7 linked regions of the Ovis aries genome follow. The protein of the gene in region 5 purifies or fractionates together with the protein of the main gene of each other region. This does not show direct contact. Links are inferred from orthologs where the notes say so. Each region holds a gene or a part of one and is shown on either strand. Other genes may lie near its edges.

The links.
Region 1: the proteins of POLR3H (region 5) and POLR3E purify together in Homo sapiens (affinity purification with mass spectrometry; 9 studies listed by BioGRID and IntAct, counting the BioPlex papers as one, with this or other methods). This does not show direct contact. The link is inferred for Ovis aries from reciprocal best matches to the Homo sapiens genes POLR3H and POLR3E.
Region 2: the proteins of POLR3H (region 5) and POLR3K purify together in Homo sapiens (affinity purification with mass spectrometry; 3 studies listed by BioGRID and IntAct, with this or other methods). This does not show direct contact. The link is inferred for Ovis aries from reciprocal best matches to the Homo sapiens genes POLR3H and POLR3K.
Region 3: the proteins of POLR3H (region 5) and POLR3GL purify together in Homo sapiens (co-immunoprecipitation; 4 studies listed by BioGRID and IntAct, counting the BioPlex papers as one, with this or other methods). This does not show direct contact. The link is inferred for Ovis aries from reciprocal best matches to the Homo sapiens genes POLR3H and POLR3GL.
Region 4: the proteins of POLR3H (region 5) and POLR3C purify together in Homo sapiens (affinity purification with mass spectrometry; 5 studies listed by BioGRID and IntAct, with this or other methods). This does not show direct contact. The link is inferred for Ovis aries from reciprocal best matches to the Homo sapiens genes POLR3H and POLR3C.
Region 6: the proteins of POLR3H (region 5) and POLR2H purify together in Homo sapiens (affinity purification with mass spectrometry; 5 studies listed by BioGRID and IntAct, with this or other methods). This does not show direct contact. The link is inferred for Ovis aries from reciprocal best matches to the Homo sapiens genes POLR3H and POLR2H.
Region 7: the proteins of POLR3H (region 5) and POLR3D purify together in Homo sapiens (affinity purification with mass spectrometry; 6 studies listed by BioGRID and IntAct, counting the BioPlex papers as one, with this or other methods). This does not show direct contact. The link is inferred for Ovis aries from reciprocal best matches to the Homo sapiens genes POLR3H and POLR3D.

The regions. Positions count from the first base shown.
Region 1 is NC_056077.1:20,543,042-20,546,899, reverse strand, and holds part of POLR3E (DNA-directed RNA polymerase III subunit RPC5), read right to left. Parts: coding exon 3,677-3,858; intron 1,424-3,676; coding exon 1,346-1,423; intron 1-1,345. UniProt on the Homo sapiens protein: DNA-dependent RNA polymerase catalyzes the transcription of DNA into RNA using the four ribonucleoside triphosphates as substrates.
Region 2 is NC_056077.1:658,846-663,361, reverse strand, and holds the start of POLR3K (DNA-directed RNA polymerase III subunit RPC10), read left to right. Parts: upstream 1-1,570; coding exon 1,571-1,681; intron 1,682-3,010; coding exon 3,011-3,098; intron 3,099-3,960; coding exon 3,961-4,088; 3' UTR 4,089-4,516. Other genes in the region: SNRNP25 (U11/U12 small nuclear ribonucleoprotein 25 kDa protein), read right to left, coding at 280-385, 588-678, 1,123-1,413, 1,495-1,572. UniProt on the Homo sapiens protein: Core component of RNA polymerase III (Pol III) which synthesizes small non-coding RNAs using the four ribonucleoside triphosphates as substrates. Can mediate Pol I proofreading of the nascent RNA transcript.
Region 3 is NC_056054.1:99,305,245-99,308,789, reverse strand, and holds the end of POLR3GL (DNA-directed RNA polymerase III subunit RPC7-like), read right to left. Parts: intron 1,579-3,545; coding exon 1,411-1,578; 3' UTR 548-1,410; downstream 1-547. UniProt on the Homo sapiens protein: DNA-dependent RNA polymerase catalyzes the transcription of DNA into RNA using the four ribonucleoside triphosphates as substrates. Specific peripheric component of RNA polymerase III which synthesizes small RNAs, such as 5S rRNA and tRNAs.
Region 4 is NC_056054.1:99,181,404-99,185,604, forward strand, and holds the end of POLR3C (DNA-directed RNA polymerase III subunit RPC3), read left to right. Parts: intron 1-438; coding exon 439-540; intron 541-620; coding exon of another isoform or gene 621-649; coding exon 650-699; intron 700-1,122; coding exon 1,123-1,272; intron 1,273-2,788; coding exon 2,789-2,870; 3' UTR 2,871-3,476; downstream 3,477-4,201. UniProt on the Homo sapiens protein: DNA-dependent RNA polymerase catalyzes the transcription of DNA into RNA using the four ribonucleoside triphosphates as substrates.
Region 5 is NC_056056.1:218,449,418-218,453,939, reverse strand, and holds the start of POLR3H (DNA-directed RNA polymerase III subunit RPC8), read left to right. Parts: upstream 1-1,536; 5' UTR 1,537-1,857; coding exon 1,858-1,968; intron 1,969-4,522.
Region 6 is NC_056054.1:203,611,961-203,616,486, reverse strand, and holds the start of POLR2H (DNA-directed RNA polymerases I, II, and III subunit RPABC3), read left to right. Parts: upstream 1-1,517; 5' UTR 1,518-1,651; coding exon 1,652-1,724; intron 1,725-2,683; coding exon 2,684-2,767; intron 2,768-2,847; coding exon 2,848-2,941; intron 2,942-3,483; coding exon 3,484-3,567; intron 3,568-4,522; coding exon 4,523-4,526. UniProt on the Homo sapiens protein: DNA-dependent RNA polymerase catalyzes the transcription of DNA into RNA using the four ribonucleoside triphosphates as substrates.
Region 7 is NC_056055.1:43,362,145-43,365,532, reverse strand, and holds part of POLR3D (DNA-directed RNA polymerase III subunit RPC4), read left to right. Parts: intron 1-62; coding exon 63-214; intron 215-379; coding exon 380-504; intron 505-911; coding exon 912-1,080; intron 1,081-1,629; coding exon 1,630-1,907; intron 1,908-2,603; coding exon 2,604-2,756; intron 2,757-2,914; coding exon 2,915-3,037; 3' UTR 3,038-3,388. UniProt on the Homo sapiens protein: DNA-dependent RNA polymerase catalyzes the transcription of DNA into RNA using the four ribonucleoside triphosphates as substrates.

The sequences.
Region 1 (3,858 bases), on a different chromosome or scaffold from region 5:
AGGGGTCTGGGACACAAGAACAGTACTCCTGATGGTGTCTATGTGTTCAGAAAACCATGCAAGTGAAAACAAGAAAAGCAGTATTCAAAAAAATGGATATGGTAAAATACTGATATATGTCTCCACAATGAACACATTTCTCGTCTAGCATTGATATGTGATGTAACTAAAAAAATACATCCCACACATCCATTCTCCCAACATAGCTGAAAACGAAATCCTCAACCAGTGCAACCAGAAGCCCACTGAAAATAACAAGGTGAGACATCAAATAGGAGCAGCACAATCTGTGTATATCTGTGTGTGTATATATATAAAATGACACCTTGTAATTAAAAAGCCATCGCCTCTGAGGAGTGGGAATCAGGTCAGGCAAAGCAGGAGACCAGCTTCCCATACAGCTTTCAGTCTTATTTGTTTTGAAGAATACGCACTTACTACCTTTTTTTCCTTTTAATTACTGGAGTAGTTCAAGAGTAGGAAACCCAGATGCCACCCACTCTGGCCAAAAGCACAGAGATCTGTTCCAGATGGCTCTCCATCACAGAAGGCCCTGCCCCTCTGGTGTTCTCAGCCTGCCTGTCAGTCTCCTTCTAAGAGGCAAAAGGGGACACAGATCTTAGTGGGGGCTTTTGCTCACTCCCTCTCCCAGTTCCTAAGGACAACACCTGGAAAAGGACAGATCTACTGGAGTCTAGCAATTAAATCTTAATCTTTGAAATTCAGGCAAGCTCATGATTTAAGGAAAACTTCTGGACCTCAGATCCTGCTGGTTGAATTAATATTCTGTTCATTCCTGTCCAGGTGTGACTAGAGGCAAAAGGACTGATTTCTCTGACTTCTGATCTGATACCTGAGATTGATAAGAAATCCTTTTGATTCCTGCCACCATCAGTCATCTGAGAAATGTGGTCCATCACCGGTTCACAAGCCTGGCTGGGCAGTAGAATCATCTAGAAGGCTTTGTAGAAACTTAAATATCTAGGACCCTACCGCATTCCTATAGAACTAAACTGAATCTCTGGGCAGTAGAATCATCTAGAAGGCTTTGTAGAAACTTAAATACCTAGGACCCTACCCCATTCCTACAGAACGAAACAGAATCTGTGTACTTTTTAAAAGGTGTTTCTGATGCAGCCAGTCCTGACATTTGGGAACCACTGCTTTTGGCTCACACCACTGGCACATCCAGTATGTTTTGAAATATATGGAGAGACAGAATATTTAAAACCGGGAGCGGCTGGAAAATTTGAAATGGATATGACTATACTTTGGGTCTCCCCAAAGGTCCCCCCCTGCAGAACACCGCCCTCCCCCTTCTGGGGAGACTGGAAGGTCACCTCACCTGGTCACTAATGTCTCCAGATTCCCAGAGGGCGAACACCTTCTGCTCATCCGGGGAAGCAGCCGTCTGTGGGGGAAACTGACCGAGGCCCAGGCGTGAGTTGGCCATTTGGCTCTAACACATGAATCCACCCGCCTTGGTCCTGTCGGCCTGCACCCGCCCAGCTCTGGGAACGGAGTTCCAGTCCTAGCCTCTGCCTCTCGCTAGCTGTGGGCGGCTGCAAACCTACTGCGGCTTCTCCCTCCTCCTGAGCCACACGCGGAGACCGCTTCCATGAGACACAGACAAACCCAGCCCAAGCCAGACGTGCTCGGGAAGGCGGGGAGGCGGCGTCTGTGTTTCCCATCAGCCTGCCGCTAGCTCTCCCTTCTGCTTTAACATCCTGTGTCCTCCCACCCTCAACCAACCCTCAGATGTGTCTAAGCACTCCCACCCCCCTAAATCCTTAGGAATATCATGGGATCCCTTTCACTCCCTCCTCCTCCAAAGCCATGTCAACATGGGTTAGAGGCCCTGATCCACCCTGAGCAGCCCATGCCACGTGGCTCAGCAGAGTCTGAAGACGGACCACGGAGAGGGCAGCCCAGGCTCCTGGTGCCCGGAGAAGGGGACGGTGGAAAGGGCACCTGGCAGAGTGGATTCTGGTCTTGGTACCACAACCCAAGTAACAGTAACAATTCCTACCACGTAAAGTCCCAGGTGGGCTTTAAATCTCATTTGCTACCAGAGAGGGAGCCGCTCTCCAAGAGGGAGGTCCCATGCAGCGAGGTTTACTCAGTGTTCACGGCCACGCCACTAATAAGCAGCAGCGCTAGGAGCTAAGTCTTGGCGCATATACTTGCTCTCCCTGAGCCTCAGCTCCTTTGTGTTAAAACAAAAAAAATGAGGCTGGATAGGTCTGAGGAATCTTCTGCCTTGGACGTGACTAAGATACAGAGGAGAGTTAGCAAGGGAGCTGGAAGAGAAGGCCAGGGTCTCCTGAGTCGAGAGGCCGACCCTACTGAGAAGTGTAGGACGAGCGGGTCCTGGGGGTGGCCACTCATGCCCCTTGTCGTCTATCCCCTCCAACAGCCCGAGATGGCCTGGCTAACATCAGGCAGGTGCCCCTGCCCTGCCTGGCTCCGTCAGAGAAAGGTGAGTCTGCAGGTAACTGAACCTATCACTGGGTGGACAATGGAGGGTCCAAATAGGGCAGGGTGCCCAAGCCCGCTACCTTCTATAGAGACCTCACCGAGGGCCCCGTGCCACGAGCGCCAGATCCCCTGGGAAGCGCCAGCCAGCCTGGGACCCAGGGCCTCTTGCCCTAGTTTCTGCTCCTCACATACACAGGGACGGGCCTTTGCCTCAGGTCACCCGAGGCTGCACATGCTTCTGATCTTACGCTGAGGACAGCAGTGCTCCCTTGTTAAGAGGCATACACAGCCCACTTCACCCGACTCGCTGACAGGTCTGGGAGGAGAATGAAGAGAGCACCCAGCCGGGCACCCTTGTACCCTCAGCTCAGGGAAGTGGTCTCCAAAGATTCCTCTGCTCCTGTATTTCCACCCCTCTAGGACCCCTTCCAATGACGGGACAAGACAAGGAGCCCGGGGTGGGGGTGGCCCACCCTGCACCTGCAGGCCTGCACCAGAAATGCTCACTGAAAAGCCACAGAGCTGGCCAGCCAGCTCTAGGACAGGGAGGCCCGCCGGGACCCAGGTGCAGCTGAGGGCTCTGGTGAGAGGTCAGCTCCTCTCAGCTGCAGCAGAAAGGATTTAAGACTTGCAGCCACTGTACTGAGGTTCAATGTCCGGCTCTATCACTTCCTGGGCAAGTGCGTTTTATTTCTTTGAAACTCAGTTTCTTCATCTGCGGTTACAAGATCAAATGGCACTAGAAGTGAAATCATCGTAAAAAATGGCAAAGCTGGCAGGAATGGGTGGGGTGCTGGCACAGGAAGGGGCTAGACCCGGGGATGGGGAGCTGGCATGGCCAAAGCCCTCCTGTGTGCCAGGCAACAGGTGATGGCCTATAGGCACCCACTCAGCCTTCAACAAAGCCTGTGACACAAAACTAACATTTGCCCACTTCAGATGAGGGTGCAGGGCTGGGAGGCTGACCAGCCCAATACCGTACACAGCAACCACGTGGGATCCTACATTTACACTGAGGCCAACGGTCTCCCAAGTGCCCCTGCCCCAGGCACCCTACCAACAGCTGTTTCCCCAAAGCCAGCAGAGCTCAGGCCAGTCTGGTTGCCAGCCTCTCTCCCATAGCCACTTCCTCCTGGACAGGCCTGCGTGCCCAGGAGCCCTCCACGGGGCCTCGTCTGCCGCCGGGGGTGCTACTTACAGGCACCAGTATCTGCTTGCAGCCGGCGGCCAGCACCGTGTCCTGCAGCATGCGGTCCGAGATGCCGCTGAACAGCATGTGGCCGGGGGGCAGGCTGGCCAAGTGCAGGTTGAAGAGGCGCTTGAGTTCGCTCAGGGTGAGCACAAACTGTTTCTGAAAGGTGGCCTGCACAAAGGCCCTGA
Region 2 (4,516 bases), on a different chromosome or scaffold from region 5:
CTCCTCTAGCCAGGGGAGCCACATCCAGGCACACGGCACGCCCTCAGGTGTCCCCACGTGCAGCTGCCCAGCTGCCCGAGTGGTAACACAGAAGAGCAGCAGCTAGGGCAGGGCCCGCAGGCACAGGACACCTGCCCTTTTTAAAGGCTCGGGACAGGGAGCTTGACGCTCTAGGCCGAATCCTGAGCAGAGCCCAGAAGATGACAAGGCTCGTTCGTGTCCGGCACATCCTCCCCGTCTCCCAGGAAGGGCTGAGGGAGGAGCCGAGGCTCCACTCACCAGCTGATGTGCTGAATGCCTCCCTCGCGCTCCTGCCTGAGCTGCACGTATCTCTGGATGGCCTTCTTCAGGTCCAGGACCGTGGCGTTCTGGACTACAACCACAGCTGCACAAGCAGAAGATCCCCAGCGTCAGGTGGCAAGAGGAGAGCCCAGAAGCTCTGTAACTTCCCAAAGCTCAAGTCTGGGCAGGTGTGGGTGTGCCCAACAGGCCTGGGCACAGCCCGGAGTTCCCACCCACCAGCTCTGCTAACATCCTCTCCTGTGAAGGTTCAGACTGCTCTGCCAGAGCGGGAGGGCAGCACTTACGCATAACTTCTCCATCCATCTTGCACACTCGCACTGTCATTGCTTGGCCGTATTCTAATGCTATTTGGGAATTAACTTCTTCTAAAGTAACCTGGAAAAGACCAAGGATGGAGGTGGGAGCTCTCTTCACCACCCAAAACAACAAAGGCAGACAAGCTGACAGCGTTTATAAAGTTAGGCAGAACCTTCCTGAAGTCTGAGGAGAACGGAAAATGGGAAACATCGATCTTTTACTTTTTACTTGAAAATTACATTATTTCTGCTTACCCCAGGCTTCTGCACACCAATTTCTGGTTGTTTTTAAAACACTGCTGACATGTCAAATGTCCTGACCAGTCGGTTTTTCGGCGCCCCTTTAAATTTCGCACCCGAGGCCAAAGCCTCGCTCGCCTCCAGGCCCGGCAGGAGCCTTCTGCCTAGACGCTCCGCTACGCTCGGAAACGCCTTCCCCAGGCCGAGGCCGCAGCCCCCAGCGGTCCTAGGGTCCGTCCGCGCCCCGACCCCCGCCCGGGGGAACGACGCGGCCCCCGCGCACCTGGATCGGAAGGTCGCAGAGCAGCGGGTCTTGCACAACCATGGCCAGGCCCTCCTGGAACACGTCCACCGCCTCGGAGTGCGGCAGCGCCTCCTCCTCGTCCTCCTCGTCGTCCTGCGGCTCCGGCCGCGCCGCCACCCGCGGCTCCTCCAGGGCGCCGGGCTTCCCGCCGGCCCCGCCCGCACAGCTGGTCCGCGCGACAGAGGTGGTCGCGCACGCGCCGGGAAGGCTACTATATCCCCACCGTCGGGCGTCGGGGGCGGGGCCACTCGAGGACCAATGAGAGATGAGCTACTGGGAGCCGGCCCGCCACTGCTCTCCCTGGGGGCGGGGAGGCGGCGTGATTATTGGTGGGCTGGCAGGGGGCGGGGCGGGGACCACGGGGCGCTGGGAACGCCGGCGCCGTGCTGCCGCGGGCGCTGCCGGGAGCGCCGAGCCTGTGGCGGCCATGCTGCTCTTCTGCCCGGGCTGCGGGAACGGGCTGATCGTCGAGGAGGGCCCGCGCTGCCACCGCTTCGCGTGCAACACCTGCCCCTACGTGCACAACGTCACGCGCAAGGTGGGCGCGCGCGGCGCGGAGGCCGACGCTCTCGCGAGGCGCCCGCGCGACCCGGGCCTTCCCCGCCTCCTTCCCCGCCTGGACCGGCGTCCTTTGGGCCCTGCCGGCCGCCCCGTGGCGCTCCGCCCGCCGCGCGCTGCTCCGGGGGCCTGTGTAGGGCTTTTGCGCCCGGGTCGCTCTTCCCCTCTGTACCCGTGTCACTCGTCGCTCGTGCTTTTACCCGGAGGATTATTTAAAATTGCAGCCTCTTTCTCCACCTCGCCCTTCTCCTAATCTTATTTTTTTAATAGGACTCGTTTGCCTTCCATTGCGGTTTATAATTTACTTGTGCGCCTGGTTTGTTAACACTAGGGTATACATTTTTCAGTTTTCGTCCCCTCTTATGTTCTAGTCTGAACATCTGGGATATATTGGGTATTCAGTACGGAGTGATACATACTGTGTTATAACTCAGTTGTAACTCAGATGTTACTTTCCGTCGATAATGCCTCTTTCCTTTTTAGAACACCTTTAATAATTTTTAGAAGTAGAGCACGCTGGTGTTGCTGCTGCTAAGTCACTTCAGTCGTGTCCGACTCTGTGCGACCCCATAGACGGCAGCCCACCAGGCTCCCCCGTCCCTGGGGTTCTCCAGGCAAGAACACTGGAGTGGGTTGCCATTTCCTTCTCCAATGCAGGAAAGTGAAAAGTGAAAGGGAAGTCGCTCAGTCGTGTCCGACTCTTCCCGACCCCATGGGCCGCAGCCTCCCAGGCTCCTCTGTCCTTGGGATTTTCCAGGCAAGAGCACTGGAGTGGGTGCCATCGCCTTCTCCGGTGTTACCTCATTAGTTTATATGCTGCTCCACCATGTAGCAGTGCTGTGGGAGTTTAGAGTCTGAAATTATGAAGGGTGACATTTCAAGGACGGCTGGTAAAACCTGGAAAATAGTTAGAAAAAGCTCTGTCTGGGCAGAGTGGCTGGGCCACCCTGCCAAGTGCTCCACTTTGGCCTTAGTCGTCTTTGGATGTCTTATTTCAGTGACCAAGTATTGTAGAGGTGGGAGAACAAGAGGGTCACACCAGCGCCGTTTTTCCTTTCCTGCTCAGTTGCTTCATCCAGTCCTCACAGAATCTTTTTATGGGGACATCCCAATTGTGGATCCTCCTGATTCTCATGGAGATTCCTGCTCGGTGACAGCAGGAATTGTGCTTTCCTTTAGTATTCCTCCCTTCATGTTGAAGGCAGGAAGCAGAGTCTGGGCTGATACTTGAAGGCATGGTTTGGTGACCTGGCTTTGTACTGGTCGCTTCCTGGGAGAGTCTGAAGACCTGCTGTTTGTTGTTTGTTAGGTAACAAATCGGAAGTATCCAAAGCTGAAAGAAGTGGATGATGTGCTTGGTGGAGCAGCTGCCTGGGAGAATGTTGACTCTACTGCAGGTGAGAGAGAAAACCTTTCCTGTTTCAGAGCTTTGGGTAAGGGTGCAGCCAGGAGCTGTAGGTAAGGATGAGGCCGCTGGCTGTGCCACTGCAGAGCAGAGTCTGTGATGTATCAAGTGGGCTTCTGAGACTAGAAACTGTTTTCTTCTCTAATGTATTTGTTGCGCAGACAGTATTGGCACAAGCTTTGGAGTGATTCAGACCTGAGTTAGTCTCAGGGTGATCTCATATTGATGCTGATGGGATTAATTAAAAAATCAGTGTAAGGATTCTGTTCTAATATAGTTTTCTTTTAAAGTCAAAGGTAAAGAGTATTAAACTGCCCTAAATATTCTGTGAAGTAAGTATTTGAGTCTTGATTCATCTCTGATAGTGACAGATGTGACCCAGGAAGGAAAGAGAGCCCTCGACACGACCAGGCCAGAGAGGAGGAGGAGCTCAGGGCGATTAGTACTGTCTTTTTACCCCAGAGGGGGCCGTCCAGATTTGCTCTGTTAAAAATCTCTCATGGGCAGAATTTGTCACTGGGAGGTGAATTACACACCAAATAGTGTCTGAGTGTTTGAAGGAGTTTTCATCAAGAGCAAGGTTCTTGAATTGAAATCTCGGTGAAAGTAAAATTAAAAAAGAAAAAAGTACAATCAAGATCACAGGTCTCCTTCCCTCAGTTGTGAGAGCACCGTGGGAATGACACTCCTTTGCAGGAAAACCTTGCAGGGCACCTCAGGCGACGGATACTAGTTGAGCTGGGGAGTGTCTGCTGCTGTGTTTCATGAAATGTCCACTTTTAACAAGCATGTTGATCATGAGGATCGTTTGTTTTTTTTAGTAACCGTGGGTCACTGTTTGTTCTTGTTGCCAGAGCCGTGTCCCAAGTGTGAACATCCTCGAGCCTATTTCATGCAGCTGCAGACCCGCTCTGCAGATGAGCCCATGACCACCTTCTACAAGTGCTGCAGCGCGCAGTGTGGACACCGCTGGCGGGACTAAGGGCGGGGTGGCCCAGCTGCGTCAGCGTCTGCGTGCTTTACTGTCCAGGGTGCATTCCCAGCTGCGAGTGGGAACTGCGTGTCCTGAGGGTCTTGGCTGGCGTGGTGGAAAGCTGACCCTTTAAGGGTGGCTGCCCGGGGAGTCAGGAAGTCCAGCCCGCCTCCCAGTCAGCAGATTAACTCCTTGATGCTCAGAATGTCCAGATTCTGCCCATGCTGTGTGTGGACGGGAGTATCCGTCCCTGAGTGCACCCTGCTGAGGTCCTGCTCTTCCTCTTTCATGTTTATTGGGCAGTTGATGTTCTACCATCAGCCAACACTCTAATATTTACATTGTTTCATAACTAATAAAGTAAAACTTACTAGTTTAGTACATTAGATGCCCCTGTTTAACTGTTAATTGCAAACTTATTTAATTAAAATTTATCC
Region 3 (3,545 bases), on a different chromosome or scaffold from region 5:
AGAATGTTTTTTTCTTTTCTCGTGTGACTCCTTGGAATTGATTCTGAGGCAATGTCCTTAGCACTTTAGTTTGTGTCAAATTTGGGGTTTTTTCCTTTCTCAGATGTAAGCTAAAACTGGTCTACTATGTCTCTAGGGGTAAGCACAATGACAGGGAAAAAAAAAAGTGTTCCTGCTTTTGAGACTTTGTCCCAGTGTACAGAATTCTGCATTTCTGACACTGATCACATGAGAAGGGTTGCTGCTATCAGCCTTGCCCACTGTGACTTCTCCAAACCCAAGGAGGAACCCTAGATAAAATGCCCCAGCACTGTGATGAGAGCATCCAGATGTTGCCATGAGAAACCAGAAGGCAGATCTTCACAGAAGCCCCAAGGGCTCACTTCCTGCCCAGTGTTAGGAGACAGGGTTGTTGACAGCCCCTGTCTCACTGCAGCCTCTAGCACTTGGTCAGTCACTCTCCGCCTTAGCACTTTGTTCACTGTCCTGTGTCAGAGCTCTGAGCTCTATCTACCCTTTTCTGAAAAAGTATGTGGGCTGAAGGTGGTTTCATTTTTTGTTTTTTAATTGTATATCTTTTTGTATGAGAAAAACTATATTTTGTACTTAACCAGATATATTTTTCACCCCAGGTGGGGGTATTCTTTGTAAAAAAAAAAAAAAAGAAAATAAAAAGTTTTTTAATGGCAAAAAAATGTTTCTCTTCTTGTCTGTAAGATAATATTGAAGTTATTAGAAAGAAAATGTGCCTAAAGGAGCTTTCCCCCTTACTTCACAACTCAGATTGTTGAAAACCCTATAGAGAAACCATTTCTTATTGATCCTAAGGACTATGGTCAGAATGGGGGTGAGGAGGGAAGGAATTTGAGCTACATTGTCTTTTGTCCGATTCACTGAAGAACTTCAGTGAATAGTGGGGTCTTCTGGTGGTCTGATCTGGTTTTCTACATCTTTAGTTAATCATTACTAAATTTCTTCAGCTTTGGAGTATATAAGGCTTTTTTTGTTTGTTTATTTGTTTAATGAGCTCCTAAAATACAGAGAAATGAATTTTGTAAGGGCATTTGGGAGGAAAGTGTTATGGTACTTTTATTTCTTATTTTGGTTTCATCATAGTTTCTTGCCAGTAAAAATGTGGTTTATATGTAGGAAGACAAAACAGGACTAAAGGATTTTTACAGTTAATGAATATCAACTTTTTTGAAGACAGCTACCATTTTTTTTTAAATCTCTGCAGCTCCTAGAACAATTCCTATTCAGGCACATGATCATAACTCAGTAAATGTTTGCTGAACATTCAAATCCACCTTCCTCGTTAGGGTATGGTTTACAGTTCCTGTTACTTCTTTGTAGAGTAATAACAACAGATTGATACCACAACTCCACCTCTAATTGAAATGATTATTATTCCTAAAGGAGTGACTTACATTGATAAACCCTGAGATGGCAGAAGTTAACATACTTTCTGATTTCTGTTTCATTTAAACTTCTGCAGACAAATTTAGTCTTAGCCTTTATTGGGAGAGGGGTGTTGGCTTTTCTGTGGATCTCCACGTAGTAATTCCCAACTTCAGACTCCTAAAAGTTCATTAAAAATGAAAGTGTTAGTTCAGTTGTGTCTGACTCTTTATGACCCCATGGGTTGTAGCCCACCAGGGTCCTCTCTCTCGAATTCTCCAGGCAAGAATATTGGAGTGGGTAGCCCTTCCGGACCCAGGGATTGAACCTGGGCTCTGCATTGCAGGCAGATTCTTTACCGTCTGAGCCAACAGCGTTCATAAAATCAATGTAAATTGAACAGAAAGTGAGATTGAAAAGATTCTTTTGCAGTTGTCTTTGTGTCTAGCTTTCATTCTCAGTAGTTGTTTTGCGCCTCCTGTTTTTTCTTTATCAAGGCATCAGGTTCTAGCTCTGTTGCCATGGTGACTGTCACCTTCACTCTCACCTTTGCCTCCTCCATTTCTTACCTGTTCACGAATTTAGAGCCTCCTCCCTCTTTCAAATCTGTGGCCAGATTTGAAACCAGGTCAAAGTTGATGGAAAATTTTTCTGGAGCTTGTTTTCCAGGGACTGGAGGGGTGGGGCAAGGACAAGAGCTGGCCAGAGGGCAGGACAAAGAGAAGGGGAGACCATGGAGCACACAACTCTGGTTGTGTACACAGCCTGGCTACTGGAGTGTGATACAAGGGGATGGAGAGGGTAGATAACTTACAGCCAAGGTCTGATAGAGACTTGAGCCTTGAAGGGCCAGAACATATGCACCCTCTCCTGATAGCATAATAGCTCAAATCCAGCACAGTCCAACAGAACTTCTGTAATGATGGAAAGGTGGTACATTTGCACTAATACAATAGGCACTATTCACACGTGACAAGTGCTCTGAAATGTGTGGCTGCTTTTACTGACAAACTGAATTTTTATTTTTGTTTGTTTTAAATTTAGTTAGCTCTATGTGACTAGTAACTGGCACAGAAAAATCTGAGGAAGGAAGGAACCAGCTATAGCTCTTCACCCAGAGGAAATACATCCCTCCCTTAAAGCACAAAAGTCTCTACTGGACTTCCTTTTGACTTTGATACACAACTCCTACTTCACCTCAGGACATCTGCATATGGGCTCACTTAAGTAGTCTTCCTTGGGTCCTAGCCCAGCTGTTTCTCCATTTAAGTGGGTGGATATTTTGGGTCTTCCTTTCCCATACTCTTCTCTTATGTCTATTAATTTTTAAGGAACTATAACCTACATATACACCCATTAAAGGAGATCCAGTTCTTAGTATCATTTATTCATTAGGTCTAATCTGGTATTGGAAGATTTAAAAGAAGACAGAAAACTAAAGAGAGAAAATAGAGAAAGTAAAATTAATAAGAAAAGAACTGATACTTCTACAATCAGGATCCTGGACCATCTTGATAACTCTGAACACACTGGAAAAAAACAAAGATATAATTTGGGAGGGAAAAGTATGGAGATCTGACCAAGCACCTGGTCAATAAAAAAATCACACAAGAGCTAAAGGTTATGAAGTGGGCTGAAGAAGTGACTTTTGCCCAGTTTTTTCACTACTATATAGACCTTTTCCTAGAATTCCTTCCATGGACTATCTCTAGGTGACAGAATGCATAAGATGGATAAGGAAAATGTTTTGCTGACCCTCCAGTAGCCCAGCCCTTGTCTCAAGCATCCTGAACTCAGTAGTTCTGGAGTGGAAAAAAAAACAAAGCAACTTTTGTCTCAGTTTCTGTTCTGTCCCTACATCCATCTCCATTTCCTAAGCTGAAAAACTCCCTCTCAGAGATAGCTACAGATCCAGGGCTGCGGTCCTGGAATAGGTGAGTCTATAGCCTAGAAAAAGTTCAAGACTAGCCTTCTTATTTAAGGAGAAATAGTATAGTGTGGTAATTAAGCACATGTACCCTGGAGTCAAGCTATCTAAATTCAAATCCTACTTCTACCACTTAACAAACTGTATGACCTTGCAATTTGTTTAACCTGTGCTACAGTTTATCTGTAAAATGGAAAATAATAACAGTATCTACCTTAGA
Region 4 (4,201 bases), on a different chromosome or scaffold from region 5:
TGAAAGAGAAAAGTGAAAGTGAAGTCGCTCAGTCGCGTCTGACCCTCAGCGACCCCATGGACTGCAGCCTTCCAGGCTCCTCCGTCCAGGGGTTTTCCAGGCAAGAGTACTGGAGTGGGGTGCCAGTGCCTTCTCCAGAAATAATATAGTTTGTTGTAAAAATCAAATGCAGTCTACTTGGCACATAAGAGTTGCTCAATAAATGTTAAGTGCCTTCTCTTTCCTCCTCACTCAGGATGTTGACAATCAAAGGAAAAAACAGGACATCCCAGCCCTCCATATGGCTGATTATGCTATAAACACAGATGCTATATGACTGGGGAAGAGGGAATATAGGTGAAAGAGAGGGCTTAGTAACTCCAGATGGCACAGGTATTTACTTTGCCAGTTCTGAAGGAAAGTATAATGTCTCTTATTTTTCTTTTTGTGGACAAATAGGAAATTCCCAAAACACCAGACCATGCCCCATCCCGGACCTTCTATTTATATACTGTGAACATCCTGTCAGCTGCCCGAATGTTGCTGCACAGGTGCTACAAGGTAACTCCTCCGCATTCCCTCTACAGAGCTGTCTCAGCCTCACGTGCCCTTTAGCTGTTTTGCCTGAGCTACTTATGTAGAACTATGTGCATTTCTTCTCTCTCCTCAGAGTGTAGCCAACTTAATAGAAAGGAGACAATTTGAAACCAAAGAAAACAAGTGAGTAACATTTTCAGCTGAGTAATTACATATTTCAAGGCCAAAAAGCTTATGGGGAAATTTCCTACAGAAATGGAAACCAGTAGAGATAATAACCTGTCTGGTTGCACTGAATTATTGGCTTAGGTTGGCTTAGGTCATGCATTCATATACACTTTTGTCAGATATCCCCAGTGAAATAGTTTTGCAGATTAAATTTATGGGCAACATATAAACTGGCACCAAACTTTAAGTACAAGTGAGAAGCAGCAAGAGTTTCAGGAATAAAGTCACATTTCTAATTAAACTTGTAGGAAACATCCTTAGAGAGTGACATTGTCCACTTTGACCAGGAACATGGTAAAGGGGGAGATATGCCCCAGGTGTATGAGATGAAATCTCCAAGGCTAGGGGACATGCCTCAGAGTTGTGTTTTTCTGACAGACGTCTACTAGAAAAGTCTCAGAGGGTAGAAGCCATCATTGCATCTATGCAGGCTACAGGCGCAGAGGAGGCGCAACTGCAGGAAATTGAGGAGATGATCACAGCCCCCGAACGCCAGCAGCTAGAGACCCTGAAGCGCAACGTCAACAAGTAAGCCTCACAAACTTCAAAGCTCTGGTTCAAAATGCCCTCCAAACAAATCCACTTTGATGTCCTCCCACCCCTCCAACATGAGCAAACTGAAACTCACTATCTTCCTCCTCACCTCAATTAACAGAATTTAATCCACCTATTTCCCTAAGCTCAAATTTCTGAAGATATTCTCAGCTTCTCCTCCCTCACCTCTCCCTCACCTCTCTCTCTCCTCTCCTCTTTCCTCTCTTTCCTCTCTCTCCTCTCTCTCTCTCTCTCTCTGTCTCATGTTCACCGCAACTCTTGATGTTACTTCAGCAGAGGTGTCCCAAATTTGGCCTTTCATCTTGCTCTCCATGCATGCCCTTCTCACCTTTTTCCAAGACCTTTGCAGTCACCTCCCCCTTCAAACCATTTCTTATAATGCTTTCAAAGTTAGTTTCTTTAAAGGGATTGATAGTAGCACTCTTCTACTTTAAATGCTTTATTGACTTCTTATTTACAGCGTAAAGACCAGCCTCCTTGGTGTAACATACAAGTCCTTTCATGGTCTCCTACTAGCCTGTCCCTTCTTCCTCATTTCCTTTCACTCGTCACCATAGGCCTTCATAGAGATTGCTTTGAATCTGGGGAAGATTGCCATCTTAATGATACTAAATCTTCCAACCCATGAATATGAAAGGTCTTTCCATTTACTTAGTTCTTCCTTAATCTCTTTCATTGATGTTTTCAGTATTCAAGTCTTATAGTTTTTTTTGTTAAATTTATTCCTGTTTATTCTTTGTTGATGCTGTTTTAGTGTTTTCTTAAATTTCATTTTTGAATTGTTTATTGCCAATATATAGAAATAGAACTGATTTTTGTGTTTTGATTTTATATCCTGCAATTTTGCCTATTCATGTACTAGATGTGGTAAGTTTTTTGTGGATCCTTTGAGTTTTTTCTGTCTATAGGATTATGTCATCTGTGAATTAGAAAGAGCTTTACTTCTTTCTTTTCAATCTAAATGCCTTTTGTTTGTTTTTCTTGCCTAATTTCCAGACTAGAACTTCCAGTGAAATGTTGAATGGAAGTAAAAAGCAGGCATCCTTGTCTTGTTCCTAATCATAGAGGGAAAGTTTTCAGTTGTTCTCCACTAAGTATGATGCTCAGTATGGGTTTTTCATAGATGATTTTTATCAGTATTATCAGTAGAAGTGGTATTCCCTTCTATTCCTAATCACTTTCAGCCTCAGCCACTCTCAGCTTCTATTTTAAAATACACTAGGTCCTTTTACACCTGTGCCTTTGCTGTGTGCTTTTTCCTCCTTGCAAATTAGACTATAACTTCTCCTGGGACAGAGGTGGTGTTTTTTGAATCCTCATCAATTTCCACAGTGCCTAGCACACACAAGATGCTTGGTCAATGGGAGAATGAGCTATTAGTTCTCTTGCTTTCTGCCCAGTACTTTCGAGGATAACCAGTCCAGCCTCTAATCTTAAATGTGCTGATAAATGTTCAGTCTGGACAAATGCTCTCATTTATTTCACTCAGGTTGGATGCCTGTGAGATCCAGGTGGATGAAACCATCTTCCTGCTGGAGTCATACATCGAGAGCACCATGAAGAGACAGTGACCCAGAAGAAAAGTCTTCCTCCAAAGATCTGAGGGGATTGGAAGGAAGAATAAAGGAGTAGGAGAAGATCCAGATTCTGTGCTGACATTCCCTCTCCCTACCACCCGGAGTACACCAGAAAGAGTGTGACCTGTCTTTTTTTTTAAGTTTGCTGATCCTGTTTTAGAACCATCTTTATATTCTACCCTCATCAAATCCTGCCAGGAGAAAGAACCTTAAATCAACTAGATTAATCACCTATTAGATGCATCAGTTCCCACCGAGAAGTCAGCTAAAGCTGTGTTTGAACATCCCTGACAATGAGAAAAACTTCTTCCTAAGCTTTTTATCCCATTTTCAAAAAGCTGCACCTGTTCTTTACTTTGTTAAACTGTAATATTAAACACACACACAGTGTAGAGAATGTGAAAGACTACCACGAGAGGGGGATAAAAGCTATTTTTAGGGCTAGCAGGTGGATTGGCCCAAGCAGTCATACTAGAATCTATGGATAAATGGCACATTTGCCAGCTCTGGGCTTCTAACACATCTGAAATTATGTGTGTGAAACTTAGCACAGTGCTTGGCATATGGTAAGCACTCAATAAATCACTGCCTTTCTCGTCACCACTATTCCTAAAAACTGGCAATTGTAACTTCCCTCTCTCAGTACTGTGGATAGATGACTAGTTGGTATAATTTGTCCCAGCAGCTTCATTTCATTTAAAGCAGTTAGGTCCTATTTCATAATCAGTTCAGTTTGCTCCTACCAAGTGTTAGTCCTAATTCATTAAACATTGGAATGCCAATTAACTGTAGAGACAATACACAAAGATAACTCTTAATACAATACCATCTCTGCCTTCAAGACACCGCCATTTTTGAGCACAAGTTAGTACTAGAATGCAAAGATGAATACCCTCTAGCACAAACGTAATGAAAGGAGACAAATAAGTACAAGGATGTGTTGGGGGGCTGTAGTATAGAAGTGAAGGGGGAAAGGGTCAGGCAAGAAAGGAGGCAAAGAGAAGTGACACAATCTGTATTTTGAAAGATAGGGATTTACCAGGTGAAAGGGGGAAAGACCCCAGAGGGAAGCAGACCCTGTTTCTTAGGGGAACCACAAATATGATATGACTAGAAAACGGCATAAATCCTACCAGAATTGACAGGCAGGAGCAAGAACTGGTGGGTCCTTGCTGTGCTGTGGTAAGTAGCTTAGCTTATCCTGAGAGCACGGAGAAGCAAAATGAGCAGACTTGTATTTTGGAAAGATCACTCTGAACTGTAGAGAATGAATTGGCGGGGGCAGGACTATTTCAGTACAGTCACTCAGTTGTGTCCGACTCTGT
Region 5 (4,522 bases):
TAAATTTATTTTTCATTTATTTGGCTGCACTGTGTCTTAGTTGCTGCATATGGGATCTAGTTCCCTGACCAGGGTTCAAACCTGGGTCCCCTGCATTATGATCTCAGAGTCTTAACCACTGAACCACCAAGGAAATCCCATGGAGAAGACTCTTGAGAGTCCCTTGGACTGCAAGGAGATCCAACCAGTCCACCTTGAAGGAAATCGGTCCTGAATAGCCATTGGAAGGACTGATGCTGAAGCTGAAACTCCAATCCTTTGGCCACCTGATGCAAAGAACTGACTCATTGGAAAAGATCCTGATGCTGGGAAAAACTGAAGGCAGGAGGAAAAGGGGATGACAGAGGATGGGATGGTTGGATGGCATCACCGACTCAATGGACATGAGTTTGAGTAAGCTCTGGGAACTGGTGATGGACTGGGAAGCCTGGCATGCTGCAGTCGTAAAGAGTTGGACACGACTGAGTGACTGAACTGAACTGAACTGAATGGGAAGCCACTGGGCCTTCCCAGATGGTGCTAGTGGTAAAGAAATCGCCTGCCAATGCAGAAAACATAAGAGATAGGAGTTCGATCTCTGGGTCAGGAAGATCCCCTGGAGGAGGACACAGCAACCCACTCCAGAATTCTTGCCTAGAGAAACCCGTGGACAGAGGAGCCTGGTGGGCTACAGTCTATATAGGGTTGCAAAGAGTCAGGCACGATTGAAATGATTTAGTATGCACAAGAAGCCACTGAGGGGTTGTTTTCTTTCTTTTTCTTTTTGGTCCCAATTTAGTATTGCTTCTCAATTGAGATTTAATCTGCTTACAGTTAAATGCAAAGAAAGATCTTAAATGTTGAGTTGGATGAGTTTTGACAATTACATACATCTGTGTCTGCTGCTACTAAGTCACTTCAGTCGTGTCCGACTCTGTGCGACCCCATAGACGGCAGCCCACCAGGCTCCCCCGTCCCTGGGATTCTCCAGGCAAGAACACTGGAGTGGGTTGCCATTTCCAATGCATGAAAGTGAAAGTGAAAGTGAAGTCGTATCCGACTCTTAGCGACCCCATGGACTGCAGCCTACCAGGCTCCTACATCCATGGGATATTCCAGGCAAGAGTACTGGAGTGGGGTGCCATTGTCTTCTCCGATACATCTGTGTAACCACCTGCTAAAAGGAGACACAGAACATTTCTATTATCCGAAAAGGTCCCGCCTGCCCGGTTCCGGTTAATTCTCCCCGTTTCCAGAATCCGGTTGGGTCTAAGCAGACTGTGTTTGCGTTTGGAAAGGATCACTCGGGCAGTAGTGCAGAGGACTGTCTGAGACCAGCAAGGAGAGGACGTACAGGCTAGGCGAGAGCTGACTAGGTGGCACCGAGGTCGCCTAGCAACCTGAGAGCGCTGTCTGAGGGTTTTGACAGCTCCTCGCAGGCGGAAGGGGAGGCTCCGCCCCCGCCTCCCCCCGCCCCTCGCAAGAGCCAGTAGGCAGCCCCGCCCCGCGTCGGGGGCGGGCCGAAGCTTCTTATTGGTCGGCCCTCCGGAAGCTACTGAATTCGGAATCTCGCCCCAGGTCTTGCCATAGCGGGCTGCGTCTGGATGCTCGGTGTGTGACGGCGGCGCGTGGTGAGGGGCGGCATGTGGCGGGCCGCGCGCCGTTCCGGCTCAGCCAGGAGACCTCCCCGCCGCCGCTGAGCCTGTTTTCTTTATCTGTCGAATCGGAGCGCGCCCTGCACGGGACACCCCGAGCCCTACGGCGCAGCCCGCCTTACCGGCCTGGGGACTCCACAGAGCGGGCTCGGGGATCCCCACCGCCGCAGGCCCTGGTGCGTGACTGATCCTCCGGCTCCCAGAGCCCCCGGCCCAGGCTGGGATGTTTGTCCTCGTGGAGATGGTGGACACCGTGCGGATCCCCCCGTGGCAGTTTGAGAGGAAGCTCAACGATTCCATCGCCGAAGAGTTGAACAAAAAGTTGGCCAACAAGGTACTGGGTCCGCGGGGTCGCAGGCAGGCCTTTAGCACGGGAAGGGCCAACACTGCCTACCCACCCGCCGCCGGCCTGGCCTTGCCAACCCTTGGCGTTTAGGCAAGGAGCTTAACGTCCCAGAACTCGGTTTCTTCACCTGTACGTGGGATGAACTCATCCTTTACCCCACTAGGATGTTGGAGAGAATCAAAAATTGGGTTTGAAAAAGGCTCTTGTAATTGGGGAATATTCCCAGGGACGGCGGAGCCTGGTGGGCTGCAGTCTGTGGAGTCGCACAGAGTCGGACACGACTGAAGCGACTTAGCAGCAGCAGCAGCAGCGTCCCCACTTCCAAATTATTGATAATTTGCAATCTAAATCAAGTCATTTCCCCCGCTGGGCCTCGGTTTCCATTTGCAAAATGGAAATAATCATTGTTGTCCAACCATGCATTGTTGCTGTGAAGATGGGTGGTAGTTCAGCTGTCAGGAGGTTTAGCCATTCATTCCTTCAACAGAAATGTTTGTGCACCTTTTACGTGCCAGGCCAGCACGCCTTAGTGCCAGCAAGAGGCCTTCCCTCTGCCTTTTCTGAAGCAGTTATTCTGTGGCACATCACTCTTTCCTTCTTAGCAGTCGCCACACTCTCTCCTTGCTTGCTTACTGGGTTACTGTTTTTCTCTCTTCCTCTACACGAGGGCAGTGACCTTTTTCTTCTCCGCAAGTAACCCCCATAGAGTCTGGGCACAGAGCAGATGTTCCATAATTGTTTGTTGAATGAATAAAACAGACACGCTTCTACTCTGTAGTGTGGTGGGGACAGCAGATATGAACAAGAGACTCTCACAGTTGAGTGTGTGATGACAAACTGAGAGAACTGTTATGGGCTTCCCTGGTGGCTCAGAGGTTAAAGCGTCTGCCTGCAATGTGGGAGACCCGGGTTCGATCCCTGGGTCGGGAAGATCCCCAGGAGAAGGAAATGGCAACCCACTCCAGTATTCTTGCGTGGAGAATCCCATGGAGGGAGGATCCTGGTAGGGTACAGTCCATGGAGTTGCAAAGAGTGGGACACAACTGAGCTACTTCACTTACTTACATTATGACGAGTGTTCTCATAAGCCTGTGGAATGAGGGAACTTCCCCTACAATGAGGGAGACAAGAGGCTTTGCTAGCCGGTGATACTTGAGCTGAGATCAGGTGGTGAGGAAGAACTCATGTAGGGGATTCTGGGCAGAGCAGAGCTATGCAGGAAGCAGAAACAGCATGTGCAAAGGCCCTGTGGCAGGAAGGAATATCAAGCCTGTCGTAGCTTGGAGGAGGCTGATGTGGCCAGGGCAGAGGGGAGGGCAGGCTGGAGAGTGGTGGGAGCCAGCCCATACAGGGCCCACAGGACCCTACTGGAGTGATGGCCTTCATCTGCAGTAGGCTGAGAAGACTGGCTGGCTGGAGACTGGAGGCAGGTCCTGCCATAGAGGTTGAAGGCACAGAAGGTGGGGTGTACAGACCTGGGGCGTTGTTGGCGAGAACTCACAGAGTCCTTAGTGGATGGTGTCTGGTTGCTTTGTAAGGTACAAGGAGAGGGGGCTTCTGAGGGGACAAAGAGAGAAGCTATGAAAAGTCCAAGAAGGGAGTGTGGTCCTTCTGTGGCACAGGGCCTTCTCTGGTCTGTTCAGACAAGTATTTCTTTTTTTGTTGTTGCTCCTTGAGTCTTGTGGGATCTTAGTTCCCCAGCTAGGGGTTGAGCCCAAGCCCTCAGCAGTGAAAGTGCTGAGTCCTAACCACTGGACTGCCAGGGAATTCCCAGACAAGTATTTCTGCATTTGAATTACTGAATCATTTGGGAGGAGACCTTGCAAAAGTGGTCCAAGGTGCAGGCAAGGGCGCCTGCCTCCTTGTGCTTCCAAAACCAGCCAGACTCTGGGCCTCACTGCGTTGAGGTCTGGCCAGGACTCACTTCTCGGAGCTTCTTGCTAATCCGTAAACAGTCCTGCAAGGTCTCCGTTTGGGATGTGATGATGCTGGTGTCAGATAAGCAGACACTGAGCGGCTAGTCCTTTGGAGCATCGTGGGGTGGGAACGGGTTATGGATGTCCTCGGCCTGTTTTGCCCAGTCTCAGGGCCTCCTGTGTGTCACTCTGCCAGCCTCAGTCCCTGCGGCCACATCTGTGTGTCTGAGACTTTGTGAGCAGAACAGCGACTAGCTGTGGTTCTGACACTCTGAACTGTGAGCTCCAGGATGGACTTGGGACCTTGGAAAAGTGTAGTTTTAACCTGGGGGGTTCCCCACCCAGTCCTTGCTACTAGTAGTAATGATCCTTGATTGCAGAGGGTTTCTTCTAGCAAGTGAGCCGGCTACTGAGCTAGGTGCTTCACATCTGTTCTTTTTGGATTTAACAGCCCCGCAGCCTGGTATGTCCATTTTTGCAGATGGGGAAACTGAGCTCAGAGAAGTGACCTCGCAGGCCACACAGGGAGTGGTGGGGCTGGTGTTGTGCCTTGAATCTGTCTTGTCACCAAAGGCTTTGTTCTTTTTAGAGCTCATCCACTGGAGTTCCTTGTCTCAGGCAGTGCC
Region 6 (4,526 bases), on a different chromosome or scaffold from region 5:
CTCTGCGCGCCGGGTCGGGAGGGGCTGGACAGGCCGGGGCTCGGTAGGGCCTGGGGCGGGGGCTGCCGAGCCGTCTAAATCAGATTCGGGCCCAATCCCTCAGCGGCGGTCCCCTCTCTTGCTTCACCGGAGGGGCCAACGGCTGACTGGCCAGGAAAGGTCCCTGTGCTCTGCTGGGGGGTGAAAAACAAAGCTAGGGGAGAACTCGGAGGGGGTCGCTAGGCCCAGAAACGGAGGTTGCTTGGAATTAGGACCCTCGGTCTCTCTCATCCCCTTCCTTTCTCCTTCCCTTCTTTGCGGGTCCCCCAGGAGCACCCCCAGGGAGGTGCACTTTGAGCCACCTGGCCTTCGGCTAGTGCGGGGGGTTGGGGTGGAGATGGGGAGGGAACGGGAATGGGTGAGGCCAGAGGGAAGGGAGGTCTAGGTGCCTGGGAGGCGGGCGTGGTGGGGACAGAGGTCGCTTCTCCCTGGCAGGGCCCAAAGAGAAACCGGAGTAGGTGCTGACGTCTAGCAGCCATGGGGGAACACGGCCTGCTGGGGCTTTGTGTTCTGTATGAGGGTCCGGAGGACAGAGCAGAGGGGGTGAGCACTAGTGTATGAGCAGCGTCAGGGAGAGTGTCAGGAGAGGCCAGTGCCCAGGAAACAGGCAGTGTGCAGGAGGAGGCAGCGCCGGGGTGAAGGGGCGCGCGGGAGGTCGCAGGGGGCTCCCGGGTAAGGGAGCAGTGCCCAGGAGGGGGCCGAAGTGAGAGCTGGCACCCTAGAGGAAGGGGCAATGTAAAGAAAGAGGTGGCATCTGTAGGATAGGGTAGTGCCAGGATGAAGAAGCCCGTAGGAGAGCTTGTCTAGAAGGAGAGGACCGTGGTAGCGGAAAGGGAAGAACAGAGCTTAAGGGGCAGGGCTCGAGGAGGGCAGTGGGTTTGGGGTTAATGCCCTGCTGAAGGGGTGGTGTGAGAGAAGAGAGCAGGAAAGGGGACGGTGCAGGCTTTCCTCTTCCCCATGGTGACATCATGGCAAATTCCCAAACTGGAGGGACCCGGCTCAGGTGACATCCAGCTGGGACGAGCCGGCCCGGGCCGGCCTGGGTGCCAGCAGGAAGGGCTGGGTTTTGCGCCCAGTCGGGCCAGCGCCCTGGGGGCGGGGTGCTGCTCCCCTCACTCTCTGTGCGGACTTGCCCTCGGCGGGCACGCAGACCGGCACAGTAAGGCTCGGGCCGGGCTTCTCTGGGCCAAGGATCAAGGTCCCTGGCTGGGGCAGGCCGCTTGAGCATTCCAGTCTTCCAGACCCGGCTTCTGAAGAGGGCGCAGTAGAGCCTCGGGAGAGAGCCGGACGCGACGCCACCTCTGTCGGAGGTGGGACCCATCGTGTCGCCGCCGGGGGCGGGGTTTTCTGGACCCGAAACCAGCCCTCAATTCTGAAACCTCTGGGAAACAATCGTTCGGGGCGGAAGTTAAGAAGCCCCGAGAGCTAGGCAGCGGAAGTGGCTGCGGTACAGTTCTTCTATGCGCATGCGTTATTGTATTCCTTTGCCGCTGCCGTTTCAGCGCTGCGTCGTCTTAGCGCGCCTCTTTTCCTCCACGCGAGGGGGTGCGCTACCCCTAGTCGTCGTGGTCAGCGCGCCCAGTCCCTCTGCTACTCTCGTGGCCCCCTCACCATGGCGGGCATCCTTTTTGAGGATATTTTTGATGTAAAAGACATTGACCCGGAAGGCAAAAAGTTTGACCGAGGTAAGCAAGGTTTGGAGGGGCGGTTTCGGGGGAAGGGGCTAATCTCCTCTGGTACCCGCCCCCAGGCTGCTTGTCCACCCACTTTCGCGTGGCCTTTCCCTACCGGTGGGTCCTGGTGTGGGGACCTCTCTCGAGAAATAATTTTATAGATAAGAAAACGGAGACTCCCGAGCTCTCCCTGGTTTCACACAAGCTGTGCTCGCTGCCTGGGTGGCCTTTTCTGCTGGTGCTGGTGGACTCCAGGCATCTTTTATAATCGCTCCCCGCTCTGGACCGGGCGCTGTACTTAACACTTCGCACGCGCTTTGTCTCACTTATTTTCTTCCAGGAGTAGGCGGTGTCTTACCCATTTTGCTCTGAGAGGCTAAGCAGCCCACCCAAGGTTGTACAGTGAATAATCCGACTTCACAACCCGTTCCTCAGAGTCTTTAGCTGTTTGTAAAATCTTCTCAGAGTTTAAGAGTAGACTGCTTGGTATACACCTCTTTATTCTGTCATTTATCAATAATTGTCCTGGGTGTCTCTTCCTTTGCCTGGACACTGATAAGTTCTTCGGGACAAACACCAGTTCTTACACATCTTGATAATCAATCCCCTTAGCACAGCACCTGACACAGGAAGAGGAAACCTTAGGATGAATGAATACCTTGCCCCAAATCAGGTTATTTCTTAATCACTTAGGTTGGCCTAGAACCTGGATATTATTTATTGCCAGAGGATCTTTGATTCTTTTCTGTGGATTCTGTCCACTGGCCACAGGTTGTCTCCCCTTTCCTTCCTGCATGTGTGATTCTGATTGAGCCTGTACTTCTGTGAGAGCAGATGAGAGGCCAGTGGATACAGACTGCATTAGACTGAGTATTCTGTTGCATCCAGGCCCCTGAAGTACCTGTCTGCCCTGCCCTGTAGGGTCTGCCCTGGGCCACAGGCAGTTAACTTCTGCCACTCTTCCCCTCCAGTGTCTCGGCTGCATTGTGAGAGTGAATCTTTCAAGATGGACCTCATCCTTGATGTAAACATTCAGATTTACCCGGTAGACTTGGGTAAGTATTGAACACAAACAGCAGGAGGCTTTATGCCATCTCAGCTGGTCTCCACCCTCTGCTACCGCTGTTGTTTTCAGGTGACAAGTTCCGGTTGGTCATAGCCAGTACCTTATATGAAGATGGTACTCTGGATGATGGTGAATACAACCCCACAGATGATAGGCCTTCCAGGTGAGGGGATGGAAAAGGGAGCACCTGAAATGTGCCTGAGGACTAAGTGGATAGGTGTATAGAAAAACCCTTACTTAATTCATGAAATAAATGATTATCAGCAGACTCTGTTAGCTTAAGAAAAGTGCAGCACTTAAGAATCCAGACATCCAGGTGTTTATCCAAAGCAGTGATTACAGTGTGAGTTGTCACTTTTTGATAGTGGAGGAAATGAGCACTGAATGACCTAGGCTCTGTGGGCCTTGTGTCTTGGGAGGGAGTTTGGTGTGATGGAAAGGCTTTGGACGCCCACTCAGTTCACATCTCAGCTCTACCACTTATTTGTTGGATAACCTTAACCTCCTTCAACCTTAGTTTTTTCTCATCAATAACATTGATGGTCATACCTAGCTCACAGGGTTGCTGTGAGGATTGAATGACATCACGTTTAGAAAGTGCCTGGTGTTATGATGCTGGCGTATAGTTACCAGTTACCATTTTTTTAAAGGGCCTCTTACTTTTGTTAACTGTATTTAAGAATAACTGCCCCTATTGTTCCACAGGGCTGACCAATTTGAGTATGTCATGTATGGGAAAGTGTACAGGATTGAGGGAGACGAAACTTCTACTGAAGCAGCAACACGCCTGTAAGTTCCTTGGTCTTGTGAGAGCCCTTTCCCTTCTCATTTTGTGAGAATTTGGGCTATGCTTTGAAAATCTGGACCATCCTCAGGCTCCCTGGATTTCTTTCTTCAAGCACCTCAGACCTAGCGGGACCCAGAAAGGAACTGTTTTGGGAACAGTTTCAGTCTGAAATGTAGGCTGGTCAGTTTGCCCTCTGTCAGGATCTTAAGGCCTGTGATCTAAATGAGAAACTGTTAATCTTGCTGAGTGAAATGCCAAGGAAAGTTACTTCTCCAAGAACTAAATGCAGCATAAGTGATTAAACTGCTAGGCTTTTTTGTTTGTGTGTGTGTGTGTGTTTTGCTACTCTGCAATCCAATCCCTAGTTCTTTGGTTTCTCTGCCCAACTATTTTTTCCTTTTCTTTAAAACCTTATTAAAACAATATGTGCCCTTTGCAAGAAATTTGAAAAGCAGAAAAGTAATATGAAGAAGGAAAAAAGTCACCTATAATTCTATAACCAGAGGGAATCTTCTACATAAACATTCTTGAATGTTCTAGGTTTTTTTTTTCCTATGTACTTTTTTCTTTGAGATCATGTTGTTTATTACAATGTTTTGTTCTGTTCCATTTGCTTAATGTTATGTAAAACATGTTTCCTCATGTCAATTTAAAGCTTTTCCTAAACATTTTTTTTAAATTCCTAAACATTTTTATAGCTGTGTAACATTCCAATAAATGGATGTATCTTAATTGATTTGACCATTTCCCTTAGTTTGGTCATGGAGTATTTTCCACCTTTCTGATATAAAAAACACTGCCTTGCACATATCTGTGCCGTCATCTTTGTCTGAAATTTGGTTCCTAATGACAGAACTCTAGAAGGGTGCCTTTTTTTCTTAGGCTGGCATGGAGAGTAGCTGAGTAGCAGTTTTTGCTCTGGCACTCAGACTCACGGGACTGGGTCTTCTGTTTCAGCTCT
Region 7 (3,388 bases), on a different chromosome or scaffold from region 5:
TAAGACCAGTTCTCGGACGCAGGTGACGTCAGTAGTTTCCCTTGACCCTTTCACTTTTCCAGGCCCAAGGAAGAAGTAACCATCAAGAAAGAGAAGCGTGAAAGGGATAGAGATCGACAGCGAGAGGGCCATGGACGGGGCCGGGGGCGCCCAGAAGTGATCCAGTCCCACTCCATCTTCGAGCAGGGCCCCGCCGAAATGATGAAGAAAAAGGGTACAAAGCTGCCGGGGCTCTGGGAGGAAGGAATCAATGGATTTCAGTGCAGACTGCCCAAGAGAAGGACCAGGATGGTGGTATTCCCCTGCTTGTTCCCAGTTTAGCCTCCCTTGCTGTTGGCTCCTCCCTGACTCCTGGTGAACTATGGGTGGTTTTCCACAGGGAACTGGGATAAGACCGTGGATATGTCAGACGTGGGGCCCTCTCACATCATCAACATCAAAAAGGAGAAGAGGGAGACAGATGAAGAAACAAAACAGATCCTGCGCATGCTGGAGAAGGATGATGTAGGTACCAGTGGACTAGGGGAAGGGGCTGCCTTTGTGATGAAAAGCACTTCTAGGGAACCAGGATGGGAGAAGCTCTCTAATGTCCTGAAAGTCTAGTGAGCGGCAGGAATCTTTGATTAGAAAAGAGCTAAGATGGACTGTGGGCTTCCCAGGTGGCTCAGTGGTGTAAATCCACCTGCAGTGCAGAAGATGCAAGAGACACAGGTTCGATCCCTGGGTCATGAAGATCCCCTGGAGAAGGAAACGGCAACCCACTCCAGTATTGTTGCCTGGAAAATTCCATGGACAGAAGACTCTGGAGGGCTACAGTCAGACACGACCAAGTGGCTGGGCAAGGTGGACTGCCCTCCAGGTAGGTGTGTATGCTGGCCCTGCTGTGTGACCCCCCGACTTTTCTTTGGCAGTTCATCGATGACCCTGGGCTTAGGAATGATATTCGAAATATGCCTGTGCAACTGCCGCTGGCTCACTCGGGCTGGCTTTTTAAGGAAGAGGATGAGGAAGCAGATGTGAAAGCACGGCTGGCTGGCCCCGAGGAAGAGGATATAGAGGTGGACATGCCTGCTGTGAAAGGTGCTCTGTCAGTTAAGGTCTCGTCTCCTTTTCTCCAGCTGTTTCCGCAGGAGTGAGCCTGCCTGACTGTTTTAAGATTTATTTATTTTTTGGCTGTGCTGGGTGTTCGTTGCTCCACACCAGCTTTCTCTAGTTGCAGCAAGTGGGGGCTACTCTTTGTTGTGGTGTGTGGGCTTCTCATTGCAGTGACTTTTTATTGCCAAGCACAGGCTGTAGGGCGTGCGGGCTTCAGCAGTTGCGGCTCCTGGGCTCTAGAGCACAGGCTCAGTAGTTGTGGCACGTGGGCTTAGTTGCTCTGCAGCATGTGGGATCTTCCCCAGACCAAGGTTCAAACCTGTGTCTCCTGCCATTGGCAGGAGGATTCTTAATCACTGGACCGCCCTTTCTTAAATAAGTCACACAACTTTTGGATCCCTCTTTCTAAGCACAAAGTTTCCCTCCAGCTTCTTGGCTGAGTGACAGTGGAGCAGATCAGGTGGAAGGGGTGGGTGCAGTGAGATGGCCTAGAGGTGGCCTCTCATAGCCTTCCCTTTCTGTTATCTCGGGCAGTAAAAGAGGAGCCCCGAGATGAGGATGAGGAGACCAAGATGAAGGCTCCTCTCAGTGCAGCCAGGAAGATCCCGGGCCTCCCGAAGGATGTGTCTGTGGCGGAGCTGCTCAGGGAGCTGAGCCTCACGCAGGAGGAAGAGCTGCTGTTCCTGCAGCTGCCAGACTCACTCCCCGGCCAGCCACCCACTCAGGACATCAAGCCTGTCAAGACGGAGGTGCAGAGCGAGGATGGGCAGATGGTGGTTATAAAGCAAGAGAAAGACCGGGTATGCTCATCAGTGAGTGCTGTGAAGATGCACAGGACCTGGAGGGGAAATAGCTACCTGGAGGGGGAAGCAGAGTGGTGTTGCCCATAGTGAAATTAGAGAATAATACGTATTTGTTCTTTCTGCCTGTAAGGGGCTTGGGGCTCTCTGTGCTTCAGCCCAGATTGTGTGTGTGTTTGTTTTTCATGGTGAACTATTTTGAACATATACAAATGAGAGAATATAAGTTCTCATGTACCATCACCTAGCTTCAGCAGTTACTGATATTTTGTTCATTTATCTGTGGTTTGGGTTTTTTTGTTTTGTTTATTGACCAGTGGCAGGCATTCCCAGGAAAAGGCCCTCTCTGGGAAGCTCATTCTTTTTTTTTTTTTTAAATATTGTTCTTCTTTTTTTAAAGGGCTTTCTTGGTGACTCAGATGGTAAAGCATCTATCTGCAATGCAGGAGACCCGGGTTTGATCCCTGGGTTGGGGTGTTAGTTGCAGCATGCTAACTCTTGACTGTGGCATGTGGGGTCTAGTTCCCTGACCAGGAATCGAACCCAGGTTCCCTGCATTGGGAGTTCAATTCTTAGCCACTGGTCCACCAGGGAAGTCTGGGGAGCTCATTCTAACCTTTGCTGCTGATGCCTCCTTTGGGAAAGGGTTTGTTCTTGAAGGGAGGAGATAGTTCCTCAGCCAGTTTCCGTCCCCGATCGTCTTCACAGGAAGCCAGGCTGGCAGAGAACACTTGTACCCTGGCTGACCTGACGGAGGGACAGGTCGGCAAGCTGCTCATCCGCAAGTCGGGGAAGGTGCAGCTCCTCCTCGGCAAGGTGACTCTGGACGTGACGATGGGGACCACTTGCTCTTTCCTGCAGGTGAGAGTGAGCCTGGTCGGGGTGGAGGCTGTTCAGGATGTTGACAGCTTGGTGTTAAGTACGGGGGAAGAGCTCTTGGGATCATCGCATGAAAGTCAGAGGACTGAGCAGTGGGCTGTGTGGTCTTGCCTTTCATCTCCGTCTCCGTTGATTGGCAGGAGCTGGTTTCTGTGGGCCTTGGAGACAGCAGGACAGGCGACATGACAGTCCTGGGACACATAAAGCACAAACTCGTCTGTTCTCCCAACTTCGAATCCCTGCTGGATCACAAACACCGGTAAAGCAAGCAGATGGAGGACGGTGGTGACTGTGCCCACGACTGCTGCCTGCTCCAGACGTTTTGTTCTCAAATCTGTTCGACCCAGAAGGGGCCTGTTTAGCCCACCCACTCCAGCCATTGTCCCAGTTTTCCCCACAGGGCCCACACGTGGCTCCCTTCCACGGCGGCTGTGAACAGCACGATGACCTTCCCACAGTGAGGAAACCGCACACCCTCACTGCTAGGGGGTTGGTCCCTGCTATTTATTTTTATATTTATGTCTTAGCTGTTCAGTGGACTGCACCCTCCCCAGGCGGAGAAGGATTGGTCTGGGCAAGGACAGGCTCCTTCTTTGGGGATGTCTTGGTTCTCA